3 linked regions of the Mytilus edulis genome follow. The protein of the gene in region 1 purifies or fractionates together with the protein of each later gene. This does not show direct contact. Links are inferred from orthologs where the notes say so. Each region holds a gene or a part of one and is shown on either strand. Other genes may lie near its edges.

What was found.
Region 2: the proteins of DNA-directed RNA polymerase III subunit RPC8-like (region 1) and DNA-directed RNA polymerase III subunit RPC5-like purify together in Homo sapiens (affinity purification with mass spectrometry; 9 studies listed by BioGRID and IntAct, counting the BioPlex papers as one, with this or other methods). This does not show direct contact. The link is inferred for Mytilus edulis from reciprocal best matches to the Homo sapiens genes POLR3H and POLR3E.
Region 3: the proteins of DNA-directed RNA polymerase III subunit RPC8-like (region 1) and DNA-directed RNA polymerase III subunit RPC7-like purify together in Homo sapiens (co-immunoprecipitation; 4 studies listed by BioGRID and IntAct, counting the BioPlex papers as one, with this or other methods). This does not show direct contact. The link is inferred for Mytilus edulis from reciprocal best matches to the Homo sapiens genes POLR3H and POLR3GL.

The regions. Positions count from the first base shown.
Region 1 is NC_092352.1:85,911,214-85,919,783, reverse strand, and holds the start of DNA-directed RNA polymerase III subunit RPC8-like, read left to right. Parts: upstream 1-5,255; 5' UTR 5,256-5,382; intron 5,383-5,944; exon of another isoform or gene 5,945-6,056; intron 6,057-8,570.
Region 2 is NC_092352.1:63,261,484-63,269,966, reverse strand, and holds the start of DNA-directed RNA polymerase III subunit RPC5-like, read left to right. Parts: upstream 1-5,198; 5' UTR 5,199-5,231; coding exon 5,232-5,267; intron 5,268-8,483. Other genes in the region: H(+)/Cl(-) exchange transporter 7-like, read right to left, coding at 2,448-2,573. UniProt on the Homo sapiens protein: DNA-dependent RNA polymerase catalyzes the transcription of DNA into RNA using the four ribonucleoside triphosphates as substrates.
Region 3 is NC_092347.1:19,547,514-19,556,095, forward strand, and holds the start of DNA-directed RNA polymerase III subunit RPC7-like, read left to right. Parts: upstream 1-5,257; 5' UTR 5,258-5,275; coding exon 5,276-5,392; intron 5,393-8,145; coding exon 8,146-8,338; intron 8,339-8,582. Other genes in the region: ATP-dependent clpX-like chaperone, mitochondrial, read right to left, coding at 600-815, 4,738-4,810. UniProt on the Homo sapiens protein: DNA-dependent RNA polymerase catalyzes the transcription of DNA into RNA using the four ribonucleoside triphosphates as substrates. Specific peripheric component of RNA polymerase III which synthesizes small RNAs, such as 5S rRNA and tRNAs.

The sequences.
Region 1 (8,570 bases):
TAAAACTATTGGGTGATGTCAGCTGCAAAGGAAGGGAAAGCACTTGTCACACTGGTTGATGTGATTCAAGTAATTTAGTGTGGCAATTTTTAGGTGGAATAAATTTCTTGTTTATTTGTACAATTCTTGGAACTTGACTTTATAGAATTTCAAGACATATTTATTTTTTTAAGATAGCAGTACTTTTGTCATTCCACTGCAAATGTTTTTTTTCTTTTTTCTTAAGACTCACATCATGAAAATACATTATGCTGTAGTTTATCCAAGTTATTGACTTCAGGCAATAAAAAAAAATTAAAATTTTGTAAATTCAGAAATTATTGCATGCATTTATTATTGCAATTTTGTTAATTTAGACTTAAATGCGATTTTAATTTTTATGAAAAATCCTGATTATTTCATGGAAAATACTTCAAAATGTGAGTTTAAATTATTGCGTTTACAACTCTGTCGCATTTTTCGCAATAATAAAAACCTCGCAATAATTTCTGAATTTACAGTATTGGCTTCTTTACAGTCCTTAGCCATTTTGAAATTGGAAATGCTCTATGCTATCTGTCTGATTGTTAATTCATGTAGACCAGGGCACATACAATTTAGTAGTGTTTATACTAACATAGAGCCAAGAAATAGACTTATTGAAACAGAAATAGGGAGATGTGGTATGATTACCAATGAGACAAATAACCATAAAAATCTAAAGGAAATATTCCTATCGTAAGGTCAGTGGTTTTCTCTCGGCACTCTGGCTTCCCCCATCAATAAAAACTGGCCGCCACGAAATAGCCCAAAATCGGTGCTTTAAAGTGGCGTTAAAACACCGAAATTCAAATCAACAAAAGGAAAAAGATGTGAAAAATTTCAGGTCACCTTCAACAATGAGTAAAATACATTTTGTATTTCAGTTAACAGTGTAAGACTTTTTTTAAGGTAGTAGTTGAATATATTTTATATTTTAATGTCTAAGACAAATACAATGTATGATTGTTTCATAATTTACAATATATAGATGAAAATAAATCCAAGGCATCAAATTTACAAAAATGCTATTTTTTTTAACATTGGTTCAATACAGACTGTATGTTCCCCTAAGCTTGTGTATGATTATACTGCTATATTAACATATAGGACATACAACTCTAAGAATTTTCATCAACAAATAATTTTTAAAATTACCAAGAAAATAGGCATCCTACTGCATCGGGTAAAATTATTCTTAGCTAGTTTGTATTTTTCTGTTATGTTCCTTAGCTTTTGGTCACAGTGTAGTTTAAGAACTATTGGTGGTCCCGTTCTGATTCTGCTCTTTACCATTCTCAATTTTATACAATATTTGTTGGCATTTAAATATTTGGTTTTATTGTTGTTACATATTGAAGGTATATCAAGAAAAGATGCTCTACAGTAGCATTTTTCTATTCGACAGCAAAAAAATTTTAAATTTTGGTCGTATATTGGTATCACGTTAGTGTCAGCTTCGCCATCGCAGTGTTAAGGAGGTAATCTAATTTAAAGTTAAAGAATACTGTTATAAATATGTTTGATTACTTGATTACCTCCCTTACAAAGCTTGAAAATTATGTATTAAGAAATGATGATTGTCTTGAGATGTATAGCTGTAAAATTTTTCTCATTTTAGATTTCAGAAATTAAAAAGACTTTTTCTTCAAATATTTTTTTGGGAGGGGATTAATATTCAACAGCACGAAAGCAAAACAAAAATTTTAAGTTCATTAGACCATATTCATTCTGTGTTAGAAACCTTTGCTGTGTCAACTATTTAATCACAATCCAAATTCAGAGCTGTATCAAGCTTGAATGTTGTGTCCATACTTGCTTTAACTGTTCAGTGTTTCACCTCTGCGGTAGTAAAAAGCTGCGCCCTCCGGAGCATCTGGTTATCAATTATTTTGAATAGAACTCAACAGAGGTAAAAACAAATAGATTTCATGGATATTGAATTTTTACAAAGAAATAAGTCTCAGCATATGAGCAATATGTGCTACTGGTAATTGTAATTAGATAACACTTAAAAAGATCAGCCATTAATAATTAATGTAGATTATAGCCAGTAGATTTAGAACCGATAAATGACAAGATCTGTGATAATCCTGGCATTCAATTTTAGCTGTTATTTGACAAAAAAAAACCTGCTGTTATCTTTGGAGGTAGTTCATTAGATTTGTATTCTTAATCAGAATGATTAATACATCATTCACTGAAAATTTGGTAGCACTGGTCTTTCCCATGTTATCAATTGACAGAAACATTTCCAAAATTTAAAAGAACCTGTGTGAGCATACTCACATACCCCACGCCCCCACATTGACAGAATCTCACTAGATTCATAAGTTCAAAGACTATCTTCTCCAAAAGTCAACTGATGAACATTTCTTGTGATAATTATCAACAAAGTTTTATGAAATTCTGTTGTGTATATTTACAGGAGTTGCGATGACAAACTGTTGCAGTAGTATATTTAGGCAAATAAGTGCAAAGGAAAAAAATTAACTCCTAATTTCTTGTCGATATGCATTTCTACATAGTATGTCCTTATTATCTATAGATAAATTTTCATGAAATTCGGTTGTATGGTTTCAGAGGCGATTTGATGACAAGAAAAGTACTGACAAACAGACAGCCAGACTGACTGGTCAAAAACAATATACTCGGACTCTAAAATTGTGTGGGGTATAATTATATCTTATTTGAATGACAGTAGTTCAAAGTTTATTTTGCAACTAGATATCATTTAGGTAATAACAACTGAGGGGAATCACCAAGGTGAAAATAAACATATATATATAATCAGACATCATGGTCAAAAGTGCGTAGAGGCTCTAAAGAGCCCATTTCGCTCTTCAGGATGAATGTACATTTTTAGTAATGTCAGAACATAATAACAGAATATAATCCCATGTATAAAGATCTCTATTTATTTATCTTGTATTGCTGATGACTTTTCTGTTTTTAGTTTCTATCTACTCTAGTTTTGCCAAACACATAAATAAAAGGGTAGACATCATTATTTATCGCAGTAACTTTTTTTTTTAAATGTTGAATTTTTCGACTTTGTTTGGACTGCTTGTACAGTAGGTCTAGTCTTTTGATCATTTTTGCTTTTCTATAATTTCTCTCCATCTTTATATATAACTATTGCTCAACACAGAAAGAGGGCTTACTCTTCATTTCAGGGCAGTAATAGATCATATGTATAAAAAAGAAGATGTGGTATGATTGCCAATGAGACAACTCCCTACAAGAGACAAAAACGACACAGAAATTAACAACTATGGCCTTCAACAATGAACAACACCCACACCGAATAGTCAGCTATAAAAGGCCCCGAAAAAACCATGTAAAAGCAATTCAAACGAGAAAACTAACAATGTGTCAATTTTGTCGTGTTGCTATATTTACAGATCTTGTTTTGCTGGTCATTTTAGCTGTTAGTTTATAGTCTCTCTTTATCGACTGCTTTTGGCTAAATGTACAAAATATAGGTAAACATAATCGCTTAGGGGTAACAACTTATTTATACAGTTGTCGACTGACAATTTGGAACATGTAGACACATGTAGATGTCTTGTTTTGCTGATAATAATCAAATGCGCTAAACAAAGTGGTAAAAATCGTCATTTATGTTGAGAAGTCGTCACGTCACAAAAAAAACCCAAAAAAAAAACCAAAAGATTACACAGCACTAGACAAAATCCAAATCCAAGATCATGTATCATTGATATTCCACAATGGCCAACCAAATCATGATTGCGTCTGTAAAACTTTCGAAGGGATAAATTCAACTAAACCACTGGGAACACATAATACAATTGCTTGACTATAAGCAGAAACCCTCTACCAAGAAAATGATAGGATACGCTAGATCTAGAATGTCTTCTCGACTTGGCAATATATACTCAATATACGTGAGGAACTGATTGATTGGTGTAACCAAGAAATTGAAAGATAACAATGGGAAAACTAAAGTTATATATTAAAATTCAGCATTATGGTTATGTCTGTTTCAGAGAAAAAAATCTCGAATCAGAGTATTTGTTCTCACAAAGTATTATTTGTTCCTTCCTTGTTAAAACAGATATGTGTTGGCCATTCTGTTTTATGAATCAGTTTTAATATTTCTTCAATCTGTCTTTATGTTATACATATAAAGAAGTAGTGTGTTGTCCCTAAATGATGATGTTCAAATGTATTTGATATTAATTAATTGTGCATCAAGAGAGGCATTTTCATTGAGTTCTCAGTATTCATATCTATATCACCACCTCAGAGCAGCCCGTTTCACATTAACTTTTTGTTTGCTGATAAAATGTAGAATAATAATTTGGGGAGAAATTTCTTGGAGCTTGATGTGACAGTACCAGCAGGTTGTTTGTAAGTTATTTTATTTTGATATTCCGGCCTTACAGTGAAAAAAGATCTATAGTTCTTCATTAATGATTGTAACAATTGTTACTTTTATTATAAAGATGTCAATGTAGGTTCCAATAAAAACGGTTTTGTCTTAGGTCGTTGTATGCAGGAGCAATTCAACTTGTCATGTTTGGATCTTTGAAGATATAGATGATATTCAAATTATTCAATATGAATAAAAAGAAAAATAATGTAAGTATTTTTGAGACGACATATAGTATACAGATTAATGTTAATTTCTAGTTGCGACCTTAACTGTCTTCATGTACAGTACATCGTCCCTACATATACCATTCAATCAGAGACATATAATACAAGAGATTCGCAACTATTGTATGATATGTCTCTGATATTATATAATAGAAATTTAAATTGTAGCCTTCTACCCATGCTAACCATTGAGAAAAAAAATATAATAGTAGATGTTTTTAATGATAAGGACTTATAAAACTTTCTAGTCAGTCTTGCAAAAGTAGCAGAACACCATGCCCCCGGCAGACATGCAGTCGACTGTTTTATTGAAATTGATTCATTTGAAAATTAAAACCTTTCAAACCTTTGAAATGTCTTATTAGTGTCCACCGTTTTTGTTTAGATAAGTTCAATGTCCAGGCAATTATTTTTGAGAACCTACAAATTGTATGAAAAAATATTCTAGTCTTTTTTATACAGTTTTGATCTTGAAATTTTATGTTGAGTTGCACAAAATTTACAAGAAAAGCTGGTATCTTACGCCTTTCTTCAATAAATTATTCCACCGTTAAGGCACAATAACGTACGTTTGTATTCGATAAGTCGTCGGACTTCGGCGTACGTCTATGCCAGAAGCAAGTCTTACCAAAATAAAACGAAAGTACAAAGTGAAACAAGAAACAATGTGGAGATCAACGTCGAGATGACGCTTATAGAAGACAGTTGATGTCAAATATGTGCTAAATATTTTATCTGAAGGTATAATTAATGATGATATTTGAAAAAAATAGGCAGGACAGGAGTTTTGAGTAAAAAAAAGGCAAATCAAATCAAATCAAATATATTTTATTGTCAATTAAAGACGCCCATTACAGGCAGAATAATCACAAGTTAAATTTGGTACAATGATTACAAAATGATTACAATTATTTGAGTACAATTAAATCAATGATTACAACGAAGAGAAAAGAAAGACACACTAATGTATATTTATAAAATGTGTGACACTTGCACAAAAAAAAAAGTCAGGACGACAATTTAGGTAAAAAAAGTCAGGATAAACTAAAAAAAAAAGAAGGCAGGACCGATTAGAGTGAAAAATAAAAAGGCAGGACAGAGATTACAGCTAAAAAAAAATGCAGGTCAAAATTTTTCATCCTAGCCCCCCCATATAAATCAAATGGTAGCTAGCTCCCTTATGACGTCTGGCAAGGCTATTTTTTTTCTTTCTGAGAGGCGTCCCAGAAAAAAAATTAAAATAGCCTTGCCAGACGTCATAATTATTTGTACTATATCTGCGCGTACCCACATCCGGTTTTATAATGAAATGTCATCAGATCGGGAATAAAATGTGAAATATATACAGAATTTGACGTAATTAGTGAATAAATTGACTAAAACTAATCAGAAGATTTGTAAATATTTATATATAGGTAAGTGAACAGTTTTTAGCTCACCTGGCCTAAAGGGGGTATCTTATTTAAAAAATGTGTCAGCTGACCCAGCCAACCAACCAAGATGCCAACCATGGCTAAAAATAGAACATAGGGGTAAAATGTAGATTTTGGCTTATAACTCTGAAACCTAAGATTTAGAGCAAATCTGACATGGGTTTAGATTGTTTATCAAGGCAACATCTATCTGCCCTGAAATTTTCAGATGAATCAGACAACCGGTTGTTGGGTTGCTGCCCCTAAATTGGTAATTTTAAGGAAATTTTGCCGGTTTTGGTTATTATCTTGAGTATTTTTGTAGATAGAGATAAACTGTAAACAGCAATAATGTTAAGCAAAGTAAGATCTACCAATAAGTCAACATGACCAAAATGGTCAGTTGACCCCTGAAGGAGTTATTGCCCTTTATAGTCAATTTTTAACAATTTTCATATTTGGTTAAATTTTGTAAATTTTTACAAAATATTTTCCTCTGTAACTAAAGGGCCAAGTTTATTATAGATAGAGAAAATTGTAAGTAGCAAGAATGTTCAGTAAAGTAGGATCTACAAACAAATCACCATCACCATCACCGAAACACAATTTTGTCATGAATCCATCTGTGTCCTTTGTTTAATAAGCACATAGACCAAGGTGAGCGACACTTAAGAGCCTCTAGTTATTTCAGTTAATAATTATTCATTTAAAAAATTGAAAAGAGTTATAAACATGTGGGTAGACATTCCATTGGTATCATGAATTAGAACAGTTGATTAATTTTATACAATTAAAGTTTAAGGGACGACATCAAAAGTTCAATGTAAGAGAAAAAACTTAATTCATATACCATAGTTTTTCTCTGACCACCTAACACCCCCCCCACCCCATTTAAACAAAACTTGCAGGAATTATAACCCCACCCCCAAACTATTTGAATTAAGTTTTTTATTTTCCATAGATTTTTTGATGTCGTCCCTAACAGAATACATTTTTCATGTAATGTCATGAATGTAATGGAGGCAAAAAATTCCAAACAAATTTGGTAGGAAAAAGGCCTAATACAAAGTATTTGTTTTAAAGTGCAGTATTAAATCGAATTTGCCACGTTTTATACATTAGTCACATCTGAGACTACTATGTGTTATAGTAGTCTCAGGTCAAGTTTTTTTTATGTCAAATACTTCTAGTTTTACTATTTTAAACCGTTCTTAATATAAAGGATATATGTATGCCTACTTTTAGTACATTTCAAATGGATTGTCCTTTCCACTTTAAACTTGGCATGACTAAAGATGGACAAAACCTGATTGCGAGGGAAGCAAAATGTTTATTTGAACATCTTCTGTTTTACATTTTACTAAAACATTTAAAAAAAATCTCATATGGGTATTTTTCAAATTCAGTAAAATTTAATTCTTTAAATTTGCATTTACATTTTATAATAGTATTCATTTTTATCAAGTTTTTTTTTTTACAGGGACTGTACAGTCTCATTTTCCATCAAAGGATGTGCATTTAATTTGCAATGTTTATTATGTATCATTATTAAATAAATACAATTTGAAAATATATTTTTTCATACTCTTCACTCTTTCTACACGAGATCCCCATATTATCGATAATGTCCGTTTATATTTCATGTTTCATTCTGGATCCGATGGCATGTTTTATAAAACAGGATGTGTCACTGTGTACCCGTAGCCTACGAATGGCAAGTTGACTATTCGTACCCAAATGTGGGTACGCGCAGACACTGCCTTTAATTATACCGAAAGAGACAACAGATATAAATGTTGGGGTTAATTAAATCAACTTTCGTTATATATGTGAAGAAAGACAACTATACTGTTTAGCGTTTGTTTCATGTGTATTCTGAATGCTTATAGGCTACATCCTGACTGGTGTCAAACCTTGATACATAAGGTACATATGAAAAATGTGACATGGCAACTACCACAGTATTCTCCAATCCTGTAGCTGCATTTGAAATTTTGCAATATATTGACGTTTGTGGTCAAATAGTTTCACTGGCAAATAGTTAAACGCTTGCACGTTGAAAATTAATCAATATATTGTGTACTGACTTTATATATAGGAAATGATAACTGAGGTACATGTATAATAAGGACATGTATGGTGCCAGGCAAGGATTTGTATTGGCCTTGGACGAAATTTATTAGGTCCCATCTTTTAGGAATATATTAGACTTGTTAACTAGTACATGAAGTATTCAAACACTTCTTCAAACTATGTATATTTTCTCCCTGCATTGGTGGCCTTGGGCTGTTATCTGTTTTTTGGTTAGGTTGTTGTCTCTTTGTCCCCATTTCCACTCTGAACTTCATATTGAAATAAGCAGCTTTTAAGTCACCAATGCAGTAAAGAGACAAAATTTTTGCTGACATGGCCTACATTGTCATGATGGTCTGTTGCCAACTTGGTTAAATGATTAATGAAGACAGAAAATATTACAAATATACTAGCACGGAGGAAACACCCTCTTAAGTAGTAACA
Region 2 (8,483 bases), about 23 Mb from region 1:
TCTTTCATATGACAGCCTTATGCTGATATATATAAATAACAAAAAAATGCTAGAGTGGGGTGCATTTTCGCCATAACTTTTTATATTTTCTGCAGTTTATGTTCAGATTGTTATGTTTATGATGTATACGGATATTTCTATATGAAGATAACATCAAAAACTAAATATTCTTAGCTTGAAAATGCGTTTCTTTGAAAAAAAAATCATCTGAAAAGTTAGATTAAAGGCTATTTGAAATTGCCTGATGTTTTGACAAAGGGGGACATATATTCGCCGATTTTACAAATCTATTTAAAACCAAATAACTGCAGCTTTAAACAATATTAATCAAATCAATTTCATTATAGAATAATAGATGAATAGCAGACATTTCAAAGGTGTAAAGAACTGAAATTTAGGGCAATCAGTCTTAGAAATACTTCTATGAAATCATTTTTTCATTCAGGAAATTGGCCGAAAATCGTTGTCTGTTTTCCAGTCCTTCATGGTAAGTTTAAAAAATAATAATATTTGTTATAATAATATAATTTACCGGCATCTTTCTTCCATTTCCCACATCCTTTGAAGTTTTTGCACCTCAAAATCATGAAATGGTGAAATTGTGTCCCCGGGGAATATGAGCGCCCCACTCTAACAGTTATCTCTTTATGAACTTAGGTGTTTCTTGATTTTTTGGCCGACAAAAAATTTACATTTTTTTCTGGTATTAAAAATCTTTTTTTTTTAATTTATGTTTTTTAATATTATTAGAAGGTTGTTTCTAGTATGTCTAATCTAAGGCTTCTGCAACACATGTTCAATTCAATTCAATTCAAAGCTTTATTTATAGACGGCATGTAAATTAACGAATCCCGGTCCGTTCGCCCTGGTACATGTTCACCCTGATACCTGTTTTGCCCAGGGTCCAACGCCCTGAATTTTATTTTTTTCTTATTGTTGTCTAGTTGCATAATGTTTATAATTTATATATGAATATGTTAGATTTTGTTGAAATTCGCCAAATACATGTATATGTATTCCCTCAACCATTTTATAGTTTTCTTTTGATTTACATATAGGTAGAATACTGGAATACAAATCAATGTTTATAATTTATCTTTATTTTAATATTTGTTACCAAATCATTTTATTCAGTCGATTTAAGCAGTATAACTGAGACTACTCTATCACATGATTGTGTTAAAGTAGTTTCATAATAAATGAACTTGTAAATTCTTTTCTTAAAACAAAATGTTGTTTTTATTATTAATCCCGCATCAAAGACAAATATTACAACAATCAGTGAGAAGTATTATGTCATTGAACAAGCTTTCTATGTGTTTTCAGAAATTCAAAGAATAGACCACATAAATATGAGGGGCCTGATGGGGGGGTCTCATCACGATTCACGAGTTGATTTTTTTGTCAATCACGAGTCACAGAAAATAAATTTCCATGATCACAGATCACGAAAATATAAGAAGAGTATCACCAATCAATCTCGATAATAGAGATTCAGAAGCTGGTTGTTTGGTGCAATTAAGCTACAATCAAATACATTACTGGCTCATTACTTGTTTACATGTTGAATTCTCCCAGGTTCTAAATTAAATCGTTAAAAACAGTCACATTCTGACTTCTTTTATTGTATAATAATAATATTTCATAGAAATGTTTTACTGGCGTAAATACCATGGAACCACATCTGTGTTTTATCTTGAGGCTAAACTAAGAGATTATAAAGTATATATATTTATTTTGTCAATAAAATTTACTGCTGAGCCTGATTGTTCTCCCACTCCTGCTGGTTGTCCCAATAAATTTATTTTCCTGTCCAAAACAGGTTGGATCTACATAAAATATCACAACCTCGACAATGTTATTGCTGTGGCTCTCAGCCATGGGGGCTGCCATAGCTTGCACTAATAAATGACCTAATTGCACTTTTAAAACTATCGTGCCACTTCAACTTTTTAAGCCAAGAAAGACAACTCAATGGAACTCTTTTTTTCCGTAATGAAAAAAAAATCACGAGAACGAAAAATATGTCTCAATCACGAAGAACGAACATAAAATTCCAATGAAAACGATTCACGAACAATGGTTTCATCACGAATCACGAAAAATAAATCTGTAGATAAACGGATCACGATAGCGAAAATGAGCCGATCACGAAGAACGGAAATAACCCATCAGCCCCCTCAAATATCTGAATAAGTTTTGTAAATTTTTATGCCCTTTATAATATTGACATTTCTTATTTAAAAGTAGGGCGAACGTACCAAGGGCGAACGGACCCAAGGCGAACATGCAATTAGGGCAAACTGACCTGATACCTTAATAAACAGATATACATATCTGTGAGCTTTTATAACTGACAAATACATAAAGGATTGAAACATAAAATGTTATTGTCTCAGGTCTTATCACATGTATATGAAGGCAAGCACAATATATTTTCATATTACCAAAAAGTTTACAGAAACTTCCACCAATTGTGTTGAACCGTAAGATGTTGTATTTGTGTTTTTGAGAGCACAACCTATTTCAGAAAGTTCAATATATTCTGTGCATCGTTTTCCAATCAATGCCATTTTCTCTGAACACTTTCAATCTCTAGATTCAATGAAGATATCCAAGAACATGAAGTATAGATTTGTTTCCTTGTATCATACATTTTTAAATACTTTTTGCCGGTTGATTTCTAAGATTTGACTCATAAGTTTTTGTTTCCCGCTTTTAAGCAGCTAGAGGAAAAGAAAACAAAAACTGTAAAAAATGACTCAGAAAGTTCATTGTTTAAATGCGAAACCGAAAGTATGGTGAAGGAAAAACTTATAAAATATATTCAGTTATCCATGACTGTTTGTTACTATAGACCTGTTGTTTCAACATTTTTTTCTGTGGTTTCAACAAAGATGATTGTTCGTTGACGTCTTCCGCCATCCTCTCACGTGTTGTTTGTTGTTGACATTTAATCAAAATTATTCCGAAGCAGGGGAAGCTGCCGAGGTGTTCCGATTAAAAAATAGAAAAGTCCCGAGGTAAAACGTATTAAAAAATGTATTGCAACACCGATAATAGTATATATTGAAAGAATAAATTGATTAAAGTTTTAATGAATATTACCATGAATTGATCCTTGAAAAAAATAGTCCACTCTTCAAACCAAATACAGTCTGAGGGTCAAAATTGTTACACCTATTAGAAATTATTTCACACTGTGACATTGGTGCTGTTATGACCCCCCCCCTAGTCCCTCCCTTTTATTATCATAAACCTCAGATTTTTTAAATATATATAACACTTATTTGTACCATATATATTCTAATAACTTTAAATAAGCATGCCTAGTACTATCAACGTGAATCTCGACTATACAGACGATAGCTTAATCAGTGCCGGCAAAATGTTCTTCTAAATATGAAAATACTCCCATAATTACATGACGTATGACATATTTAAAAAAAATAGATTAAAGGTAGCTCCATGGTATAACAACATCTTGGATTATACAATCGCAAAACAAAATCGGTCTAGTTATTTGCCCAAATCTGCAGTTTTGGAGACAGATTTACAATTTATTAGTTCGACTGTTTATTGATTTAAAAAAAACTTTGTGATTAACTTTATTATTCATAATATTTAAACAAATATCCATTTTTTTGTTTTTAGAATCATATTTTTCTCAAATAAGCCATTTAAGTGTAGATAACTCTTTTGGGGGAAATGCAAGCCTACGGCTTGGTTCGTTTGCCCAGGGTTCTTTAATGCTTCCTAGGAGTCTGTTTCCTGGGAACGTGAGCCCGCGTAATTTTGAATATATATAATAACGGGATGGAATTTTATCGTATTACCTATGTGTTCTAAATTGAAAACCTGTGTTTAATGAAGTTAGATGGTCAGTTTTCAGAGTTTTTTAGTTGTAACCGCAGGATTGATGCAAAGGAAGTCATTATCCCCTTTTTATATTCTCTCTATAGAAATAGAATTAATCAAACAGGCCTGGGTATTGAGCCATATGAAGTCAGAATGTTAAATTCATTTTTGTTCATGTACGCAGACGTGAGGTTTATCATATTTTGAAAATTCGCCGAAATGCACTTTGTATCAGTATTTACAAGATGGCAACACTATGCAATTTTACCTTAGTCGTCCATTAAACAGTTTGTATAAATCTTATATTACTAGATATAACATAAATGCTCATGCACTATGCATAGAAACAGGTAGATACTATAGTATAGCAAGAAAGGAACGTTTGTGTAGTATGTGTAATACAAATACTATTGAAGACGAGTATCATTTTATTTTAGAATGTGATAAATATAACGACATCAGATGTAAATATGTAAATAGTTATTACTATTAGAGACCCTCTACTTTACTGAATTAGTGTAGCTGTTATCTGTAAGAAATATCAAAGAGCTAAACAACCTAGTAAAATATTTGTTTTCTGCAGAAAAAGCACGTAATGGTTAATTATTCAAATGTTTATTTTTAGTTTAATATGTCTATATGTCATACTCCGCTTAATTCTTTCATTGTTTTGTATAATTTGTGTATAAATGTTATATTATGCTGTATATTATCTATTGGATATTTATATTGTGTAAATCCAATAAGCTGTATTTGCTTACGGAAATAAAGTATTATTAAATTTTGTATACACTCAAACTTTATTTTTAGTCGTTTTGACAACTTTATTAGAAAAATAACTTTCACACTTTTTTAACATATGAATTATACAAATTTTATTTTTTAATGTGCAATTACTTTTAATTTCTATTTTTCTAACCAAAACTTTAAATACAAATTAAAAAATATAATTTGCCATTATCTTCCCTGAACTGACTCACAAAATCAGGAAATAACCGACATTTTCGTGCATCTTTCACTATCATATGACAGTTTATTATAAAATCGGTTGCGGGTACACGTAGCCTACGAAGTCAAATTTGACTACGCGTACCCGCATGCGGGTATGCGCAGACACTGCCCAAAATAAAATGTAAGCCGTCCTCTCCCCATTCCAAACTCTCTTTTGTATCTCAAAGAGAGAGAAAAAATCTTGTTGAAAACAGATTATAAAAAAAGTATGGAAATAAAAATGGAAACGGAAAACTTACAAATAATCTATCATATTATAAAAATAATATGTGATCATATGTATATTTTATCAAAATAATTGAATAAAACCAGGTTAGGGATCAGCACTATTTAACTTACCTGTGAGTATAACAGTCGGAACAATGTCGGACGAAGAAGACGACCCGATTGAGCATGAGGTGACAAAACATTGCATTTTAATCTAATGACAGGTTCAATAATGAATTTTGTTATAGAATAGTATACTTGCGTTACATAGTTAGCTATAAAATACTTGAAAATTTTGACAAAATTGAAATTTAATCATTTGGGATTGTTGTTTGGAAAAAGGGGGAGGGGTATTGTTAGTTCAAGAACTGAAGAAGTTAAAAAAAACTTCACCATATAGCAGACATATTTTACCATACTATATCCACAATGTCCAATTACTCTTCTTTCCTTTAAATATTTTTGGAAAATTTCGAACAAAGAAAGAGTATGTAAAAACATTTATTCCATCTATCAGTCAGTGGCGTAGCTTGCATGTATGCTCAGATGCTCAAGCATCCACATCATTTTGACAAAAAAAAAATATATAATTGCATATGTTGTGTCTGAATGTAAGGGTGACGATATGTGAACATCGTCCAATCATTTCCAAAGCAGTATACATGGTCTTCTTTCCTTTAACCTTTTGGCTAAAATGGCCGTATTTACACCCCAAATTTTACTCTGAGTACAGACTAACCTATACACCTGCAACAGTTTTAAGGGATGGCAGGAACTAGATATATAAATTTTAAATGCATTTTATGTTTCAGAAAATTATAAACTTTTCTAGATTTTGCTATCCATTTTTTTTCGTTCCTGCAGAAGGTGCAAAAATTAACTAAGTCGTGAAAACGATTGAGAAGCTCCCCTCATATAATCAATGTTGTGAGTAGTATTGATTTAAATGGACAATAGATGGACAATAGACACCTGTAAACAATATGTGATTTAACAGGTTTAAACTGTGTAACTGAGTGGACCGTATCAAATGAAACTCGGGTGTCAGTCTTCACGCTGAGTGGCAGCCCTGGCAGCCCAGGCAGCCCAGGCAGCCCAGGCTTGTAAAATTGCTCTCGGGCCTGTAAATATCATATCTACAGGCCAACAGAATCTAACTAAAAAATTTCAAAAATTGAGCTCCGGGCCTGTAGGTTTAACAGTTCATCGTGAAGACTGGGGTGTTTGTTTATTTTGCTATCTTCTGCAGACTGGAAAAAAATGGACATCAAAATCCAGGTAAGTTTTTAATTTTCTGAAACGTAGACTTCATATAACTTTTATATATCTAGTTCCTGCCATGCCTTAAAACTTTCCTGGATGTACCAGTTTGTCTGTACTCATAGTAATTTTTGAGGTGTAAACACGGCCATATTTTTCAATTCCTTATGATGAACCTTAAAGGGAAACTTCGCAAAAAAATCAAAAATTGATATTATGTTCATTCTGTATAAAAATGTTCAAATTCATAGATATTAAAGTTTTATTCCGCTAGATAAGCGATCACCATCGATTTTAAATTTAGAGTATCAATTCTCCGAGATCCGCCATCTTGTCTTCTTTCCCGATGAATAAAAACGATATGTCTATAAACCACAAAGAAACAAAACTACAGTAACCGATGTAGTCGTAATTGCTTGTCGATATCTTGTCAATCGTACGGTTGTATAATACGACTAACTAACTTGATATGGAAAATATTCTTACTTTTTTTAAATTACCATGGTCTGTTGTTTTTAAACTGTTGATATGTGAATTAGGTGAAAAGTCAAAGTTGAAATCATAAATAAGTGTTCCGTGAAAATTGTTTTCGAAAATCTAATTTGTTCATAATTCTTTAAAGTAATAAACTTTTTTCAAGTATATTTTGATCTTCCCTTATCTGATCACCAGCATGGCTAAAGGTATTACTTCCAAAGGTATTGTGAGGGGTGTGAGGTGACACGTCCAGGTATTCAAGCGATTTCCTGTCGGGCTTGCAAGTTCATGCATCGTTTCACTTCTGCAGGTATTGATCAGTGTACACGGCTGATAACTTATAACTTATAACTTTCCATTTTGAACTATCAGATGTATAATATACAACTCTGTCTTACTTGTCATTACTAAACTCATACGCTTGTTTATAAATAACATTTCTGGTGTAAAGAATATAATTCATAATATATAAATAATACCCAAAAAATAAGATTTGATGAAATTAAAATCTATTTAAATATTTTTTCCAAGGGTGAATTTGGGAAAATGTAATATATAGTCATTGTCAATAGTGAAGGACAGATTGGAACAGACCAGAAATATTGATTTAAAAAAATGTACGCACTTGCCGACGATTCGTTTATACGACTGGATATAAAGTTACGGAACTATAGCGCAATTTAAAATATATACGTGAATACATTGAACATAAGAAAAAAACATATATTTTGAATAAATAGGGGTAAAAGTGTTGTAAATAGGCTAGCCAACGTATGCCAACAGTATGTAATTATCGAATGTCGATAGACTACAGTTGTATACCAAAAGAAGAAGAGAACCAATTTGATTTAAATACAGGTCGATGTATAACTTTTGCTTTGGTTCATTGAAGCTGTGGACCTAGGAAAATCACAGATTTATATTTCAATAAGATTGTTCTCAAACAAAGGAAGGAATTCGTCATCACAATTGTTATATATGCCACTGGACAAACACTAATTATCCCCAGGGGATGCGAATATTTTGCTGGGAAACTTTTGAGTATCAAAGTTTCAAATTAATTTCGGGATTTATTTTCTTTCTTGGTATTCAATAACCGAAAAAAGAATAAATTACTTGTTCGCTAAATAGGGATATTCTTGTCAGATAAAAGAATTTTAGTTATATTTAAAAAATAGGGAAATATGACATTAAATTGGTTCTGTCTTTTTTTAAACATCGTTAAAACGATGTGTGTCTAAGGTGAACGCCACAAGAACCCTGTAATACTAGTACGAGAGTATAGCATGTAAACATTCCTTCTCAATAATATGGTTGTATTGGAAAACTTTTCATACAGATTGACAACTCATTGTCCGATATGCATGTAATATTTGCCACATGACGCCCATAGTTCTTTCTACCATCATCACCTTATTCCTTTATATTGCTGTAAACATCGATGGTTCACACCCAAACAAAATGGGAGTAATGAACCTTCAGAGCTTCTCTGTGTTATACACTTGTGAAATATATAGACGAAATTTCTGTATTGAAATGAATCTACATCTCACAAACAGGATTTTCAAATAACGATTTTGAGTAATCACCTTACAAACCAATATAAACGTATGGCAAGATATAACCATGAAGGAATTTAGTTTTTGTCAGAACTCATCACTATATCATAA
Region 3 (8,582 bases), on another chromosome or scaffold:
TCACTTTTAGAAGAGACCCAATATGTAAATAGTAAGCTATAAAATTCAGACATGTAAACAAGTAAGTTCCATAAAAGAAGTCACAATTCTTTCACTCATTTAACGGCAGAGTAACTTCAATTAAAAACCTCAATAAATATTAAAACTGGAATCACTATATATTGTTAAAAGAAAGTCAAAATTCCCTAACTTTTATATGCATCTTGTACATAATCAAAGATCTCTCAACTAAAAAAATATATCCTTTAACTTTGGCAACTAAAAAAATATCCTTTAACTTTGGCTTTTTATTGCTAATTATTTATGGAACTGTATTCACAAATTAACCAGATATGTATAATGAAAATACAGTTTAAGTGTCCTTATTTTATTTGATTATTTTTACTTTTCAAGACATTTTTGATAACAAAATATTTTTTTTTAAACCTCTGCATAAATAAACATGAAAGAGGTCATTTGTAAATTTTTAAGATTTGAATCTGAATGCAAAACTTATTCCACCATTTGCATTCTAAATTTCATGAAAATATAATTCAAACACAGGAAATTCAGTAAAAAGACCACTTTGAAATAGTTTACGATAGAATATATAAACTTACCTTTCCCAGCTAAATCATATTTATTTTCATGGCCACATTTATGACACTTGAAAGATTTTATGTCACCAGGTGGTTTGAAATTTTTTCCTCCTCCACCTCCTTCTTCTCCGCCTCCGCCATCTTTCCCAGTACACATAAATCGGTAACTGCCTGGTGCAGCACTTATTTGTTGCCATACTTTGAAAATTCTTACATCAGAAACCCTCTGCACACAAACTGTCAATAAAAACATAACACAACTGATTTGCAACATATGTCTCTTTAATAGCTATATACAATTGAAATATTGCAGTATTTTACAGTTAAAACTATGTACATTTTGGAGTCATGCCTTCAAAACAGCTCTGAATACCTCAACTGTGGTAAGTATGGAAAGAAAGATTGGTCATAGGAATCTGTTTTGGTTTTCTTGGTAGAAGCAGTCTGTGACCTTTTATAGTATTTTACTCTAATCAGTCAGAGCTCAGACATAAACAAGTCGATTTTTGTTTTTGACTTTAAGAAGTCAAAACATGTATTTATTATAAAAATGTGTTTTCAATTTTAGACTTATCTGTGTCAGAAAATGACAGACTTATTTAGGTCTATTTGTGTTGATGAAAAAAACTAATTTTACTTGGTGGCCAAAGTACACCACCTATGACAGCAAAAACCAGTCTGAGAGTTCACAAGGACTTGAGCTTAATCTATATTTAACTACCTTTTTAATTGAACATCATTACTAAACACAGATGTTTCACCTCATCAAGTGTGGTTCCAGGTGGTTGCATTGATATGTTGATTAACATTATCTCCGATTTTTTAGACTCTCATTCTTATTTTCTTCAGAAGGCAAAGCGTTGTCTTTCAATGTTGTCATTATTTGATTTAGATGCATGACCTTTTTATAAATATGCGTGGGTCTTGAAGTTAACCAATTTATATAACTTATCGACTTGCAGGACTCGATATTTGCAACTTTTTGATTCTGGTCAATTATTTCTTGCTTAACAATATTTGACTTATTAAAGTGGTATTTTGTCTTGCATTTAAGGTAGACAAATCCTAAAACTTACAAATTTAGACCTCTATGAGTCAAAAGCAGATTCAGACTTATTTATGTCTGAGCTCTGACTGCTAATAATCTTCTGTTGTTCACATTTACCAGAAAGTTTATATTTTTAATTAAACTGTTGTTAAATTTCTGTTCTTAATCTTCTTGACTCTTATGTGACACCTTAGTTTTGCCAATTTCAAATACCAATGATTCACACCATTTCCATTAGCAAAACAATTCTTTGACTATACAGTCATTGACGGTATGCTGATTTTGAGGTCCCCAAGGTGTGAATTTGTCAAACTGAATCAGTGTATGCAGAACTTAGAAGGTTGCTGTGCAGCTCTCACCTGCTGTTTTTTTTGTGTCTGTATACAGATTTCTTACATACAATATTGAATTCTAATTATATAACTATTTCAGTTTAATCATTCATCATAATTATCTTAGCTGCTGCAATTTTATATGAAGGAAAATCATCTAAATCAAGACAATTCCTCCCTTTACTCAATTTGTTTTTCTGACATAGATTTTAAGCAATTTAAAGCCACAAATGACATCCCAAATTTCAGGAAAAATTAAATGCTGAATCCAGAATTCCAAAAAAGCATTCTATCCTAGCCGGCCTGATTTCCCCAAAAACAATCTCCACAATTATGACCATAGTCCTGATACATGTCAAACAATGTCTAACTCCTGAATTCCAGCAAAAATAAAGACCCATTAATGAAAAAAGTCTATGAGTATGATGCATGACTTTTTATATTAGTTGTTATCATGGTTATCATGGTTATCGGCTTTGAACTAGATGTCAGTAACAAGTACTCTCAGATCTGTACTTAGTGTCTTTTTGTTGTTGGGATGTACTTATACCCTGTCTCTTCCACAAGTTTTTGCTATATCATATATCATATCTAGTACATTTTATATATTTCACCCGATTTCTATAGTTCATTCTTATGTGGCACTGTTACACCACTGTCCTATATTTGGGAACTGTTGGGATCCTGCTAACATGTTAAACCTGCCCCATTCTGTATGTATAGTGAATCTGTATGTGCCTGTCCAAAGTCAGCAGCCTGTAATTCAATGCTTGTCCTTTTGCTGCTGTGTTACATATTTGTTTTTCGTTCATTTTTTCAACATATAACTACCATCATTCAATTCATAAATATTTGATGTAAAGTTTCCCACCCAATCTTATATTTGACATATGAGAAACGGACCCCATTACAGCGGCACTTCTGTATAATTTAGGAACTTCGGAATATAGGAACTGAAGTGACTTCTCTTTCCAGGAATTTGAGTCTACAACCATGGGTTTTTGATTTTTGATTACTGAGCTAAACGCGTTGCAGGAGACATAAAAATACCAGGCGTCCGATCATCTGGTCTTGTTAGCACTCTCATGTGTACAATTCTTGTTAGATTAAGTGAAACTCATATCTTAAGCAATGTCTTTAACAATTTGGAAAATAAGTCGTAATCAAATATTTTTAACCAGTTATGACCCTTTGAAATATAAATTGTAATGGAAATCACATTTCATTTGCTGTGAAGCTTTTATTTCTCTTAAGATATTGAAAAGAAAAAAGAAAAAGAAAAAAGGTGCTTTTTTAGTTTATATGCCTTGTTCCTTGCCCTTTGATAGATAAAATATGACATATAATGTGCATTGAAAATAAAATTAGTATTTGAACCTAGATAGAAACTGGAATTCATAAGCATCGGACTTATTACGATCTATTACAAATTGATTTTATTTTTATCACGTCGTTTACCATGTCGCAAGAAACGATATCATGATATGGTGTTTTATTTGTTAGTTGCTATAGTCAAATGAGAAGCCATCACTTTACTAGGTTCATGATTTTAGATGAAACATGTCCACGGGTCTGCGTATCAGTCCTTTCCGCTTGCCTAAGCCGATGACGTAGACCTTTTTACGAACAAAAGTTAACTTGGAACACTATTCTGCGATTCAACTATCTTGTTTACATAAACTAAATTATCCTAAATGCAAGACCAGGCATACTGCTTCGAAAATGACTGGACGTTATCCTCATATGATTTCATATTCTCAGCCTTGTTACATTTGGATACTTCCGAGTTAAACTGCTGCTATTTTTATTTTATTTTTTTCAAAATGATGTGGATGCTTGAGCATCCGAGCATACATGCAAGCTACGCCACTGATTGCTCCAATATGTTAAAAAATCAGTTTTGATACATTTTCTAAGTAAAGTTTGAATTTATTTTTACTGAGTTTTTTACAAAGTACTAAATTTAAACCAATGTTTGTTGGTGTGATCAAAAATATGAAGTAAAGTCTTAATAGATGGAGAACATGACTTAATGTTTTTGTAAAATTTAAATGAAGCCTTTAGTCCTTTATCATATAGTTTTTTTTTAGCTGCATTACATTTTCCAGTATTAGTAAGAACTAATCCTAAGTATTTATAGAATTTCACACACTCTATTCTGTTTGCACCTATATTAAATAAATAGCTGTTAATTATTTCTGTGTCATTAGGTCTCTTGTGGAGAGGTGGAGAGTTGTCTCATTGGAAATCATACCACATCTTCTTTTTCAAATTTGTAACCCTCACCAAAGTCATTTTGCCAGTGCTAGTCATTGGCTAAGAAACCATTTTCAAACTGAAGAAAGTTTTTCTGATCAATTTCATCACTATTTTTTTTTTAAATAAAATAAAATATTAATGACCCCACACCTAGAATAATGTCATCTATATCCAAATTCTTGAATGGAAAGATTATAGTAGGATTCAAGCGTATTGGTGTGACTGTCTCAAGAATGTCCAGACTGATTACATATATGGATTATGTTACATGTACATGTAGTAAAATTAAAAATGATGGTTTAGTTAAGGTGCTGTCATAATTGACCTTTACTAGATATCTACACTTCCGTCAAAAACATTTCAGTTGTGTATATTTGTGTGCTTTAAATAGAATATTTCCTAGAAATGCTGAAATTATAGTTGAAAATTTTTTTTCATCATCATAAGCATGTTGTCAAATTTATACATTACATTCACTTTTCATCATTGACATCTGCCTCACAGTTTAGAAAATACTTACCAATGTTTCTTCTGAAGGTAGAAGCAACCATATGACGAACAGGGCTACTGCAAAGTCTTATTGATGCAGACATATTTGTTGATAAAAATTTCAATCTAAAAATGTTACTTTTCCTAAACTTGATCGACAACAGGTTAGTTTTCAAACGGTAGTGTTTAAAAAAAAGTCGAAGTGCTTAAGCGCTATCGCATATCACGAAATGTGTGGTTTGCAGAGAGGATATTCAACATTAAACAGTTTTATATAAGAATTCTACTAGTCTTCCATCTCAACGATTGTTGACATTTTAAGGTCAAGGTTACGGGGAGAAATCGTAGTTCACAGAAAAGTATATATAAAATAACTTTGAAAGTAAATGTTTTAATCTTGAAAATTAAAGAAATAACACTTTTATCATTTTGATATACCCCAGTTGTTTAATTGAAATTAAATCTCGTAGTTTTTTTATCCAAAATATTAATTTCGATATTCCGTGTTTGGAAATCTCCCTAAAGATGGCCGCTTCCACCAGTCAACAATTTTATTCTTGACCAGGCCAATGGCAGGCAGAGGCAGAGGTAGAGGAAGAACTGTATCCTTCAATGTAGAAGCTTTGGGAATCAACAAGGGAGAAGTACCCATAGGGCCTGTTCTTCAACCGCCACCGCTCTTCCCGGTAAATAGAATAAGAAGCAGAGATGACATCATGTCATATTGAAAAACCAAGTGATGATGAAATAGATAAATAATTTGATTGATTGAGTCCAGTAAAAATATTTCATTCTCATTCAGAATAATATATGAGGGTAGAAACACAGGCACTCGTCTCAGAAAAAAAACGTGTTATATAAAGGTATACCAGGCGGGGGGGAGGGGATATATATATATATACACCTTATCGCTAATCCCGGCTGACCCGGCCGCTTGAACTTTTGACGCATACAATAATCACTTTTTCATTATGGCGTCAGATATTTTGTTTTATGACGTCAAATTTTTACGGGAACCTGTGTGATATCCAGTAATGGCGGACAAATAGCGATAAGGTGTATTCTGAGACTGAGTGCCTGTGGGTAGAAATGCTGTTTAATGTCAGGCGTTAAACTGTCATTTTTTTGGCTACCATTACCGTTTAGCGCCATGAAGTTAGTAATTTAGTTTAGGGAAAAGAATCTGTCTATTTAATTATTTTATCGTGTTTAAGAAAGTGAACATTTTATCGTCATGCACCAGTTCTTTTTCCAGCTACCAAAATAAAAGACCTTTGCTTTAGCCGACAAAGCACCAGAGGCGGAGTTAGGGGGGCAGCGGGCACAGGCCCCCCCTTTTTGGAAAAAAATTTGGTTGCTTATATAGGGAATCACTGAAGCGTGACTGGAGCGGGCCCCTCTTAGGCAGACAGCGGGCCAGCACTTATGAAAATTTCTGGATCCACCAGTGAGCACAGTTAGGTTTAATTTAATAAATTCATTGACATCTGGTTTAAAGGGCACTAGCCAATGCTAGCTGTCAAATTCATGGTCACCGATTTGACTCAAATTCTAATATTCGATTTATAACAATGTTAAACATTTATCCAAACTATCAAAAGTCTAAAATAAACAGTTTACAGAGCATGGGGTAGATAATATGTAGGTTCATTTCGTGTGTATTTTAGTACAGACGCCATCTAATTAACTATTGATTTGGCCTCAGATGACCATATAAGCAATGTAAACATAAATAAAGATATGAATAGATTAAACCAACATGTGCAATTGGATTTTTATAGGTCTTTTATTTTATAGATTAAAAATATATGTTTCTCATTGTTTTAACCGTCATGACCGTATAAGAATGATTTTATGTGGATCGATACTGAGTTTCACTTTCATTGTTGATTCTTTTTCTTCAACAACCAGTACACTTACAATATTAATGCATGCGTTGTCAATCTCTAGCTAGGGGGTTAAATTGAAGTTCACAAAAATACGGATTTAATGAGGTCGACTTGCAAGTGAATAATTAATTATCAATGTTTCTTAGCTTAATTTGACAAAATTGAACCATTTTGGCTGCTAAAAGCGAATTATTATTTCACTTTCATAATTGATTGAACAAAAAAATTCTTACTTTAGATTTTTTATATATCTGGTAGCTAGTGCCTCTTTAAAAGTTCTTATTAATCAAATATTTGTAATTTGTCTTCCAGTGTGTTCATTTAAAGTTATTATAAACGACTGTTAACGTCATAATACAACTACATTTCTTACGCCTATACATTCGCAGACCATTATGCTTAAGCGTATGGAGGAATCACAGTTAAGCGTATACCATGGCACTTCAGCGTGACCATTGAACTTAAGAGACCCCATTGCACTTTAGAGTCCTACATTGTATAAATATACTGGAGATTTGTATCAACATTTTCTGTTCACTTTAATGATAAAGCTACATATTTTCCTAGTTTTTAAGACCACTGTCATTTAATATGGTATAACATTATCACCATGATCCAAATGTCATTTGGTTTCTAGCCGAAATTGAGTATAGTTGTATACATAGATTTTGAAATTGTACCACAAGGTTCAATACCACAAAAGGAAGGTTTTGATTGATTTTGGTGGATATTGTTCTGACTGGTATGGATTATAAGGGGAAATAAACTGTCACTTAAATTCTTGTTTCGTGAAAATAACTAGTGTAAGTGTATGGAACTCTATGAAATTGTACCAAAAGGTTCCATACCTCAAAAATAAGGTTGGGATAGATTTATTAAGTAACTTGTAATGGCCAAATCCCTTTTAGAAATAAGGGGTAATCACAAAAAAACAAGGATTTTATGTTTTCAGGAACAATAACTTGAGGTAAAAAAAAATGTATTTATGCATGTACATGTATTACCATGATTTTTTGAAAAAGGGCCAAAAACATTACTTTTCTACTCATGTGTATACATTATTTCTTGACTTATTTCAATGGGGTCTAATTCAAAGTCTTGAATTCATGAGGTTCTCTTATATATGATGAATCTAACTGTGTATTTAGATTTTAGAAATTATATCCCTTTTAAAAAGTTGTCTATTTTATGGTCTAAAGTGTTCAAATTTAACTTATTTGATTTCATAAAAAACTGAATATTTAGGTTTCTTTGATGCTGTATCAAACCATGTATTGCCATTTCATTTATTTTGGTCCCATTATTAAATTGATCCACATTGAGATCAAAATCTTAGCCCTGATCAGAGTACCAATCACTTGACTTTATATTTTATCTCCAATATCATGTCCAAAGCAAACATAAATACCATTCTTGTTGTGGATTATCTGGATAAAGAAGGAAGTAAAATGTGGGTAGGTGGTGTGTTGTGACCACTAAGTTACAAGCATACTCTTAAAACGCCATGAAATATAGTATATGCAGGAGTTGATTTTTTCTCTGTATTTTAGCCACAAGAATTCAAACCAGTACCACTGAAACAAAGTGAAGATTATGAATATATTTGTGCCTTGAAGAAAGAGTTCATAGGTTTTATGAAAAAGTCCCCATACTACATACAATCCAAAGAGAAAAGGAAAGATATTGATAGATATTCAGATAAATATCAATCAGGACAAGACACATTGGGACAATGGAATCCAGGTAAAGATTTTGATGAATGATATACATGTAACATGCTATAGCATATATTATACAGAATAAGAAACATAAGAACAACAAAATCTAGAATGGTAGAATCCAGTTAAAATTTGCATTATCAGAGCATTAAACTTTAACTTCTCTAGTACTCTGCAATCTTTAAAATAATCACTTTCAAACAAGTAAACCCAACAGAACTGATGAACCCATATACATATATGCTCTATGTATAAAATGGATATGTATA